Linked DNA regions of Bombyx mori. The protein of the gene in region 1 purifies or fractionates together with the protein of each later gene. This does not show direct contact. Links are inferred from orthologs where the notes say so. Each region holds a gene or a part of one and is shown on either strand. Other genes may lie near its edges. The genes, in order: zinc finger protein 830, RING-type E3 ubiquitin-protein ligase PPIL2 and peptidyl-prolyl cis-trans isomerase.

Region 1 (4,236 bases):
CGACGGCCACGATGCGAGGGTTCTCGTGTCGTGCCGCTTTGGCGAAGTGGCACATTGACGCCGACTGTAGATACTTACTGATGGACTCTAAAGTCCAGGTCGTTATGGAATTCAACGTTCCTGACGAACCACAGAGCTTCAACCGCTATCCTGCAAAAACGGGATTGAATGATTTGGAATGATTTTAAGTTAGTGCGGGCCGCGTGAGCGAACACTACACTTGCATAGGTAGTGACGGGGCGTATGCAAGTTTTGTAGAGTGTCACCTTATTTCTAAGGGACATTTTACTTCGCCTGCATATCATTGGGTACTTCTCTGTAGTGCAAACCACAGACATAAGTCTTCTCTTTAGAAATATAATTTCTAAAAATGATTCTCAGAGTGAGATGATAGCCAACAGTATATCATAGTATTATGTTTCAGTTAATGAACCTGTACAGACTACAGATCAAAAAGAAAAAGAGGAACCTGCAAGTGATGTACCAATACCAGAAGGTTTTTTTGATGACCCAGTTTTAGATGCAAAGGTAACAGATATTAGATGTTATAAAATATCAACTAACATATTACTTCATAACTCTTCTGCTTTTTAAACACAGCACATAATTTAGTTAATTTGAGTAAAAAACATTACATATTATACATTATTAATATATACATACATGATAATTTCATTAAACCATTATTTCACAATCACTATCCTTATAGAAACTAAACATTACTGGTCATATAATTCTTCAAAAGCATCATGTATAAATTCTATCATATCAGTAGCTAACATACTTCGACCTTTTAATTTAAAAGCCTTTTCATTGCACTTTCTTACTAAAATACATGCAGCATAACAAGACAAAGAAGCTGCTAACATTTTATTATTAGATATATCTGGTATTTTAATTTTATCAATATTAGCGAGAGTCCAATGCATGAATGTAGCTATAGTTCCAGATAATAAATCACCCTGTCCTCCACACCTCCGTCCAGATCCCCCAGTCTCCAATGACCAAGTGAACTCAGGAAATGGACTTATTAATTCATCATTGGGCCCTTTTTTTAATATAGTAACATTTTTCCCCATTGTCTGTACATCTATTTTATTACTTAGTCGTTCAAATTCTATTTTGTTAGGGGTTAATATTACTGGTGAATCAAAATCTTTAATTAAGTTTGGTTTTTCTGTTATTAAAAACAAACCATCAGCATCAATGATAATGGGTATTTTCTTTTGCTTGATGACTTCTATTAATTTTGCTATTATATCAAATGTTTGCCAATCTCTTCCTAATCCAGGGCCAATAACTATAGAATGGAGTCTGTCAAACCATGGTAATATTTCCTCAACAGCATCTTGCTTATCTAGTAGTGGATGCACTATTAATTCTGGGCTATATGATTTAATTACTGCAGAAGCAACTGAAGAACAAAATATATGTGCCAAGTCTGCACCTACCTGCAATTTTAACAAATATGTTCTTTATTATCAATATTCGTTTTAAATTACACTGGATGTTTTCATATTCAGAGTAACACATAACTTTTGGTTGAGTATCATGATTAATGAATAATTTCTTTTCCTAGAATGTGGATGTATTTATGTTTATGAAATTTTGTTTATTGTATGAGTCTTACCTAACAAAAACGGAATACTGAATAATTACTAACTTTGAGTGAGCTAATCCCCGCAAAATAAGGTGCACCAGTATATTCTAAAGAACCACCAATTACCCCTATTCTTCCGGCTTGCCCTTTATGACTACTTTTATCCAGAGGTGGTATGCATATTTTAATAAGGTTTTTCATACTTGTAGGATCCATGTTGTATCTATGTCTAATAAGAGAAAAACTTTTCAACAAAATTAAATTTGTTTTCATTGAAAGACCTTAAAATCTTACGCTTCGAACGATACTGCTTTATTTTTAAACTTGTGAAAGAATCATATGAAACGTATGCCACTTTCGTCAAAGTTAACAAACTATCATTTTATTAAGTTAAACCTCGTAAAATACTGTAGTATAGTACATAGAAATCGCAAAAAATACCGTAATAACATTATCAAATTACCATGACACACTGAGAATGTTTTTTTAAGGGATTTTATGACCTGGTAACTAAGACCTTTAGGTCAAGTCTTATTTTAATTTTAATGAAAACTTTTTTTATATGAAAAATAATATATGGGATGAAATATAATCTCAGTAAAATGGTGGTCATTTACTGAGAATTTTTCAGTGGACTTTATGGAAGATCGTCGTGGCCTAAAGGATAAGACGTCCGGTGCATTCGTGTTGAGCGATGCACCGGTGTTCGAATATCAGGTCAGTACCAATTTTTCTAATGAAATACGTACTCAACAAATGTTCACGATTTACTTCTACGGTGAAGGAACAACATAGTGTAATAAAAATCAAACCCGCAAAATTATAATTTGCGTAATTACTAGTGGTAGGGCGAGTCCGCACTGGTAGGTACCACCACCCTGTCTATTTCTGCCGTGAAGCAGTAATGCGTTTCGGTTTGAAGGGTGGGGCAGCCGTTGTAACTATACTGAGACCTTAGAACTTATATCTCAAGGTGGGTGGCGGATTTACGTTGCAGGTGTCTATGGGCTCCAGTAACCACTAAACACCAGGTGGGCTGTGAGCTCGTGCACCCATACAAGCGATAAAAAAAGATCATACCGATACAAATTTCATTGCTTTCACGCTACGTTACGATGATGACCGGCACCGACATAATTGTATATGGGAACAGTTTATTGATCCATATGGGTTGCAAATACTTGCAGTACTAAACTGAATTGATTTTGTTTGTATTTTAATGAGAAAAAATATTTATTCACTAAATGTAATCATCTAAGTCACACTCGGTAATAAGCCAGGTAGGTCCCACTTATTTCTGCGGTGTATCGGTTATGCGCTCCAGTTCGAACGATTTTTCAATGAAATTGAGATTTCTACATCATATCTTAATGTGGATGACGACATACACGTTGTGATATCTATGCTAAACTCCAACACAAAGTGTGATGTTCGCTGCTTGTTCGCTCGTCTACGTAAGAGAAAATTCGTTATGCTTATTTTGAAAATTGTTTATTTTATTTTAGGTTCGTAAGATTGAATATAAAGATCCAATTGAAGAGGAATGGGAAAAATTCAGAAAAGAAATAAAAGAAGAAACTAGTGCATCAGCTGAAATTATAGCAGGTGAACAAGAAGAAGCCACTGCAGAGCGACAAATAGAAGAAATCGACGAACAAATTAGAAAATGGTCCCGGTACGATAAAAACAACTCTGAAATTTTACTTTTAAATACCTAAAATTTTATTAAATTAAATAATTTTAAATTATTCAACATAGTAATGAACTTAATTTCCTTTTTTTTACAGAGTCCTGGATTTGGAATTACAAAAAGAAGAGACGAAAAAGAAAATACACGAAATGGACCAAATGAGCTTAGACGAAAATTGTGAATCAGAAAACGAAGATGATATAGACGAATTTTTAGATTGGAGGTCTAAAAAATCGTTTACGTAACAAAAAGTTTTTTCTGTTGATATGTGTTATTAAAATACTTTACTATAATGAGCTACATAAAAGTTCTTTTATTACGATTTACCCTAATCTTTATCTAAATTATTTTATATTTTGATATTTTTTTATTTTTATTGCTTAGATGGGTGGATGAGCTCACAGCCCACCTGGTGTTAAGTGGTTACTGGAGCCCATAGATATCTATAACCTAAATGCGCCACCCACCTTGAGATATTAGTTCTAAGATCTCAGTATAGTTAGTGTTAGTTTCAGAAAGTGAGATCACCCAAAACCAGTTCGGGTTCATACCTGGTCGCGGGACAACGGACGCCATATTTGTACTTCGCCAAGTGTGCGAAAAATACCATGACGTGCACAGGAATCTGCCTAGGGTGTTCGTTGATCTGGAAAAAGCGTACGGCCTTTTTTTCCTAGTAGGTGAGCTCACGGGGCTCAAACCTGACGACGTTCCTAAAACGAACCCTAGCAAGAGCCGTGCTTCGTAGAATCTACCACCGGATCGGAAACGCGACCCACTGCGAAGATCCGGCGAGAAACCCAGTGGGCTGTGTCTGAGGGTTAATTTACTCGTCAAGCCCTTCGTCGAAAGCGACGGGTTCGACGAGAACGGTGACCTGTGCTTGAAGTACCTAAAATCACCGTTAGTGGATCGGGAGGATCCGAAATGACGTGTTTTGGGCGAT
Region 2 (2,760 bases), on another chromosome or scaffold:
GAGATGAGACCTCCCGAGATAGATTTGGGCTTCAAAACACCATCCATCACTCTTTAATTCATGAAGAGTAATGTAAGGGCAAGATTGTTAAGACCAGACAATGTTTGTTTCAGGTTATGTAAGACTGGTAACAAATGTAGGACATCTGAACTTTGAATTGTACTGCGACGTAACGCCCAAAACTTGTCACAACTTCATGACACATTGTAAAAATGGATACTACAACGGAACAAAGTTCCACAGGTCTATCAGGAATTTTATGGTGAGTTGATGAAAATATTAAGTGGCGTTGAGTTTTATACCACGACTAGTGTAAAAAGACTGGTAGTTCTGCTTTGCAGAACTTCAACTTTTTTTATTGCTTAGATGGGTGGACGAGCTCACAGCCCACCTGGTGCTAAGTGGTTACTGGAGCCCATAGACATCTACAACGTAAATGCGCCACCCACCTTGAGATATAAGTTTAAGGTCTCAAGTATAGTAACAACAGCTTTTTTTTTTCGGGGAGAAATCCTCATGGATTGCCTCCGCCTGGTGAAAGGCGGAGGGGCGTGCTGGACTCCTACCGGCTAAAACCACCCTGGTGCCTCACCACACGTGCACGCGGGGCCGCGGGAATCGAAATTCTTCCGCAGGCCCACATAGTTAAAACAGCTGCCCCACCCTTCAAACCGAAACGCATAACTGCTTCACGGCAGAAATAGGCAGGGTGGTGGTCTCCCACGTGGACTCAAGAGGTCCTAAAAAAAGTGTCTGACATCTTGATTAATTAAACTACGTATCGAGGGGTGAAAGGCCATTTGGCTTAAGCTTCGATCAACAATAGTACAATTGTTGATCGAAGGGCTTAAGCGACATTTTTGCTACATTACAGGAGGACCGTTTAAAGTTTATAATTGGGACAAAATATTTTTACGCGTTGGGATTCGGGATAACTAAAAATTCTACCGAAGTACAATTTAAAACTGTATTAACGCATATAACCACTTAACAACGGGTGGGCTGTGAGCTCGTCCACCAATCCAAGCAAAAAAAAAACCACAACATTAAAGTTCTTAATTCACTTCTTCCGCTTCGCTTCAGGTGATCCGTTCGCTGTTTCGCTTCGAGTAGATGCGATTACTGACTGCCTTTGTGTTATCTCTGCAACGCTTTTATAATAGATACAACATTATTATTGCATTGCGTATAAAGCGAAATATCGCTTAAACCAAATAGCCTTACACCTCTCGATATGGCCTCCTGACTGAGCCTTTGCTCGCCCACCTGTCCTGGTGACAATGGAAAGGCCACCAGTAATCCTTCATTTTGAAAAAAAAGTTGGTCTGGGACAGCTAGCTTTATTATTTTAATGAAAACTATCAATGAACAAACAAATTGAATTAGAGACAGATGTGTGTCTAGAGTAATTCTATTGTAAGCTCAGAACTACTTACTATATCTGCAATATGGTTTTTGGGATAAACAGGTGATAAGAGGATACAGAACCTATGACCTATGGTCTCACTTTTCTGTCTATTTTTAACACAAAGCAATCATGCCAGAGGCGTTTAGTTTTAGACTGTCTATAACTGTCTATTACCAGATGGACCGTGAAGTTCGTCTGGCGATTAGACAACTTACCTGTTTAAAATATATGATTTTTTTATTAAACTAGCTGACGCGGCCGACTTCTTAGTGCCTCGATAAACAAAAAACCTAAACTTTTGTAAAAAATAAACTCAAAGGGAAAACAAAATTGTTATTTTTATTTAATTCCGAGCATTTTCATATTTATCTACCTTTTAAACCTTCATTCAATTCAAGACCAAAATTAGCCAAATCGGTCCAGCTGTTCTCGAGTTTTAGCGAGACTAACGACCAGCAATTCATTTTTATATATATAGATTCAAGGAGGAGATCCAACGGGCACAGGGTTGGGAGGCGAATCCATTTGGAAGAAACCTTTTGATGATGAAATTAAGCCAAACTTGCACCACACCGGACGAGGAGTCTTGTCTATGGCTAACTCGGGAACCAATACTAACGGATCACAATTGTAAGTACTAGATGTATTTTTAATAACTATAAATGAACTGAAGCTTTTAGGACTGGGACAGAGTTGCTTTTTTGAAATTGTAGTTTCGTGTTGTATGAATTTTCTAAAACAATAAATAAAATTACTATTCTCAAAACTTCACTATTTGAAAATTAAATAAATACAAGAACGTGAAGAAGACCAGTGCTTTGGTTCTACTCAAGACTGTGAGTTTACCTAGTCTTGCCATAAATACTGAGACAAAGGGAAAAAAAAAATCTATTGCAAAAACGTTTATTACTTTTACAGTGTGTTAGTTTAAAACATAAATATAAAACAATTTAAAGTATTAAAAGATTATTCGAAGTGGTCTCCATTGGCTGCAATACAGTCCTTTGAACGTTGAGGCCAGTTATCAATAGAAGCACACACTCTTTCCATGGGAAAATTTTTCACTGTCAATCGTACGGATTGTTTTAGGGACTCCAAATTATCATGGCGTTTAGAGCAAGCCGTACTCTCTAAAACTGACCATAAATTATAATCCAGCAGATTAAGATAGGGACTAGACGACGGCCAGTCTTCAGCTGTCAAGTTCGAGTCCGAAACGTTCGTTTCCAACCAAGACTGCGTAGACCAAGCTTTATGACCTGGCACCAAGTCTTGCTGGAAGGACCATTCTTAATTATTGAACATGGTGTTGTTAAGGGCCTTCACTACCTTCTCAAGAATGGTATCTTGAT
Region 3 (4,381 bases), on another chromosome or scaffold:
CTTCAGGCAGCCTGAAGATGGACGGACGAGCTCACGGCCCAATTGTCGTTATGTGCTACCGGAGCCCATAGACAACAACAACGTAAAAGCCGCCATCCACTTTGAGACATAAGTTCTAGGTCTAAATTTTTACAGTACAACGGCTGTTCCTTAAAACCAACACATTACTGCTTCACGGCAGTAAAAATCAGAGTGTTGCTACCTACTCTTGTGGGCGTATAAGTCACCCTACCATTAGTAATTACGCATTATATAATTTTCGCAGGTTTGATTTTTATTATAGGCTCTTACAGTTTTACTGGCTTGGACGCAGCGCTCGATCCGAATGCACCGGGCGTCATAATCCGCAGGCCACCACCCCTTCAATAGCTGGTCGTTCTTGATGGACATTCTGGATTATTATTAGTCTGGACTGGATGCGATAGGCAAGAGACCTAGAATAATGGAGTGTATTTGAAGAGACCTATACTCAGCATTAGGTGGATAAGGTTTGAAGAAGAGATGAAAATTCTAGAGGCATTTAAGAATTCGTCCATTACCTTCGTAGATTGTTTTCATAAGAAGTGTAATACTTATTAACTGTAGATTATTTTGAGTACCTTAAAGGACTAGACTATATCTGTCAAAACCGTCAGATTTGACAGTTTTTTGAAAAACTTTGCGGTCCATCTTATCGTTTCATTACATATATTTCGTTCAATTTCATTCACATGTATTACTAATACAAAATACATTTTTTTCATTACACTCCGGTGTTTGGTTCCTTTGTTATCCAACACAGTATTTAAAAAAGAAACGAGCTGCCGAAGAGATATTTAATTTTGAGTTTGAGTAGGTCAGAATCGCATAGTATAACTCTTTCCTAATGATAACCTTAACGGTTTCCACTGCTTTTCCTTTTGCTATAAAATATTACAGGGCTTTTGGTAAGGTAATGTAATGATTATTTAGTTGTAATTATACTGTATACCTAGTTGAAATTATATTAACCAGTAAGTATACCAGCCCCCTTCAGCTCCCTTCCATTTTACTTTTTTATTATTCATCCGTCTTTAAGAACGGATTTCGTTTCTACCTCACGTTTAATTTCTTATCTGCTTTTGTTTGGTATATACTGGTGGCAGATACAAAGATTGCAAGACGGCGCCAATGGCGAACTCTTCTATCTATTTTTGCTATAGAGCAATCTTAAATTCCTGTTTAAAAAGGAGAAATGCCGATATTCCCAATAAATTAATTCGTGACTAGTTAGATTAAATCAAAAAACAACTAGAAAACTATTTTGTTACATATCTCACTATCGAATAGGAAAATATTTTATCATACTTGAAACTGAGAATGAGATATTTATCGTTTGTGTAATTTGCTACTCTGAGCTTACCTTAAATTACGTAAAAATCAACTGTTTATTTGAAAATCATTGAATCCAAAGATATTAAGTGATTACTTATGTTGTTTATTTTAATTCCTTCAATGAAGTAGGAAACCTATAGGTCTATGAATTCCTTTGACAAAATGACATTTGACTTTTTGAATTGTCATTCTCTTTGAGGTTATGTTTGATATAAACAAACCGCTATCGGCGCTATCACACAAATAGTTAGCTATGTACCTAAATTTCATTTAAATTTCGAATAATTTAATATAAACACACGTGAAAATGTCGAGTAAGCCTAATTCTAAGCGGACAATATACGTTGGAGGGCTAGCTGAGGAGGTCGACGAGAAAGTTTTAAACGCTGCTTTCATCCCTTTCGGGGATTTGGTTGATGTTCAAATACCTTTGGATTATGAGACTGAGAAGCATCGGGGCTTCGCTTTCATAGAGTTCGAAAACGCTGAGGATGCTGCCGCAGCGATTGATAACATGGTCAGTACTTTTACAGTGAAATACATGGCAGATGCTGGACATGGATTCTTTCAGTTCTAGTCCATAGGTATGATACAAAATACTCATTTTGGTACAAACGAAGGGTACACATCTTTGTTTATCGTTAAAGAATGTGAAATTACATTCAGGAATTATTTTTGGACAAATAAGATATATAAGTCTATATTTATTACTTATACAATAATATCTGACATTTTAAATTCTTACATTTTTTCGGTCTTAAATGTCCATTGTGAATATAGTAAGAGGTGAAGAAGTGTTATTATTGTTGTTATAACTCGGAAGTCCCCGAGTTTTTATTACAGATGGTAGGGTATATTGTAAGCCCAAGGGGTAGGTGCCACCAACATGTTTATTTATGATTTCTGATTGGCACAGTAGCCATCACCAGTGGAATAACCACAATTGAAACTACAACCTTATGTCTCAAGGTGGGTGGCAGCATTCACATTCTGATGGCTGTTGTCTTGTAATTACATAAACCTGGTGACATGAGTTTGTACATACTTATCACAAGCAAAACCTACCATAGCTAAAGGAATCTATATTGAAGAGTGAAATGCTATTTGGTATAAGCAACATTTTCCTTAATACACAACTTCATCTTCATAATTAAAGGTGTGTTTTATTTGGTATTAGCAAGAACAGTTTGATGGTTTTAATTGCTCTTTAATTGAGTTTATTCCATTAAAAAAGCTAAAGAAGTTTATTTGTTATGGTATTTTTTCCAAATTTTAAACTTTAAATGGCCTTTAAGTTCCAAAAATGTCAATATGTCCGAATGTTTGTAGGCAGCGGCTTGGCTCTTCCCCTGGCATTGCTGACGTCCATGAGCGACGGTAACCACTCACCATCAAGTGGGCTGTATGCTTGTCTGCCTATACGGCAATAAAAAAATATGTCACTTAAAACAAATAGCCTTTCACCCCTCAATATAAGGTATTGAAGGGAGAATTAAAATTATTTGTGTGTAATTTAAACCTCATCATTGGAAAATACTTTTTACTGATATTATAATTATATTTGTAATACATATTATTACAGTAAATAAAATATTGTTTCACATATATTTATACACGTCATGTTTCAAAGGTTTTTTTTTTTAAATTCCGGATTAAAGGAGATTTTGATTATTTTAATAATTTATTTAATTGACTAACACTAAAATGTTTAATATAATATTAGCTTAATACATTATCAAACTGCCATTCATAACTAAAGTGTAGGATATTGTAATAGAAAAAAGTTATATACACAGTAAATAAGCTTTTATAAAATAGGTTTGAAATTATTAATCTACTAGAAAATGACATCCATAGAGACATAGATGACCCTAGAAATATAGACATATTGTGGAATGCATAATTAAAAAAATTTAAACATGCTTAGTAATATTTTCTCATTTTAACTTGTAATCTAACTATTTATTTCTAGAATGATTCAGAACTATTTGGTAGAACAATACGAGTGAACATAGCAGCTCCGCAACGCATTAAAGAAGGCTCCACACGACCTGTCTGGTCGGATGACTCATGGCTGCAGAAACATGCTGGGGAAACTCTTCAACTGAACAAAGATGGTGAAGAAACTGAAACGAAAGACAAAACCGAAACTACTAGTGTAAGTAATCTAAAGTACATCAAATTAAGAAATAAGATGGTTATGATTCGGACATAACATGTGAAAGGATAATAAATATTATCCAAAACATTGATAAAGATGATTGATTTTAAGGATGCATAATATAAGGACTAAAGCGTTTAAAGTAAATGTATAAAGACTCTGGGTAAGGGGTTTGATAACTTTGTCACTAGCATTAGTCATATTCTTGAGATAACATAAACTCTGTCAAACGTTTGGCTTGTAATTTGGTATTATGTCAGTTACAGAGCGAATGCTACCTTCAGACGTTAATTACAAGTCTGAATTTTATTTAAATATCGACTTTTCTAACTTCACCTCAAAGGAAGTGAAATTATGATGGTAATTTTTTGTTCTATGATACTCTCCATGTCTTCGTATTGTGTCCAGTTTTCCAGTCAAGAGTTTATTGAGTTAGCACATACATTAAATTGTTTTCAAGTGATGTTATGAATATACTAAAACAAAGTGTGTAAATTTACATTGAAATTCTTCTCTTCTTCATCTTTTTCTCCACCTTATCCCACTACACACTTTACCCAGGTGGGCTTGAGCTCGTCCACATATCTAAGAAATAAAAAAAAAACTAGGTGGGGTCGGCACAGCTAATTTTTCTCTTCCATTCTCTTCTATTAGCCATCATCTCAACACTCACTCGTCTCTCTCATATCATATCGTCGTTCACACATTCCAACCATGTCTTCTTCGGTCGACCTCTTCCTCCTCTACCTTTTTCATACTATTTCCATAGATCTCCTAGTCACATGCCTCAATTCTCTACGCATCACATGTCCATACCGCGCTAATCGTCCGCTTGTTTCAAACTTCCTCTGATATACTCATTCTTTG

The links.
Region 2: the proteins of zinc finger protein 830 (region 1) and RING-type E3 ubiquitin-protein ligase PPIL2 purify together in Homo sapiens (co-immunoprecipitation; 4 studies listed by BioGRID and IntAct, counting the BioPlex papers as one, with this or other methods). This does not show direct contact. The link is inferred for Bombyx mori from reciprocal best matches to the Homo sapiens genes ZNF830 and PPIL2.
Region 3: the proteins of zinc finger protein 830 (region 1) and peptidyl-prolyl cis-trans isomerase purify together in Homo sapiens (affinity purification with mass spectrometry; 3 studies listed by BioGRID and IntAct, counting the BioPlex papers as one, with this or other methods). This does not show direct contact. The link is inferred for Bombyx mori from reciprocal best matches to the Homo sapiens genes ZNF830 and PPIE.

What each region holds. Positions count from the first base shown.
Region 1 is NC_085115.1:6,224,496-6,228,731, forward strand, and holds the end of zinc finger protein 830, read left to right. Parts: exon of another isoform or gene 1-424; coding exon 425-528; exon of another isoform or gene 529-719; coding exon of another isoform or gene 720-1,451; intron 1,452-1,663; coding exon of another isoform or gene 1,664-1,873; exon of another isoform or gene 1,874-2,096; intron 2,097-3,105; coding exon 3,106-3,275; intron 3,276-3,387; coding exon 3,388-3,535; 3' UTR 3,536-3,597; downstream 3,598-4,236. Other genes in the region: ATP-dependent (S)-NAD(P)H-hydrate dehydratase, read right to left, coding at 720-1,451, 1,664-1,873.
Region 2 is NC_085116.1:14,595,344-14,598,103, forward strand, and holds part of RING-type E3 ubiquitin-protein ligase PPIL2, read left to right. Parts: intron 1-113; coding exon 114-262; intron 263-1,886; coding exon 1,887-2,038; intron 2,039-2,760. UniProt on the Homo sapiens protein: Has a ubiquitin-protein ligase activity acting as an E3 ubiquitin protein ligase or as an ubiquitin-ubiquitin ligase promoting elongation of ubiquitin chains on substrates.
Region 3 is NC_085121.1:14,019,393-14,023,773, forward strand, and holds the start of peptidyl-prolyl cis-trans isomerase, read left to right. Parts: upstream 1-1,505; 5' UTR 1,506-1,660; coding exon 1,661-1,870; intron 1,871-3,325; coding exon 3,326-3,511; intron 3,512-4,381. UniProt on the Homo sapiens protein: Involved in pre-mRNA splicing as component of the spliceosome. Combines RNA-binding and PPIase activities.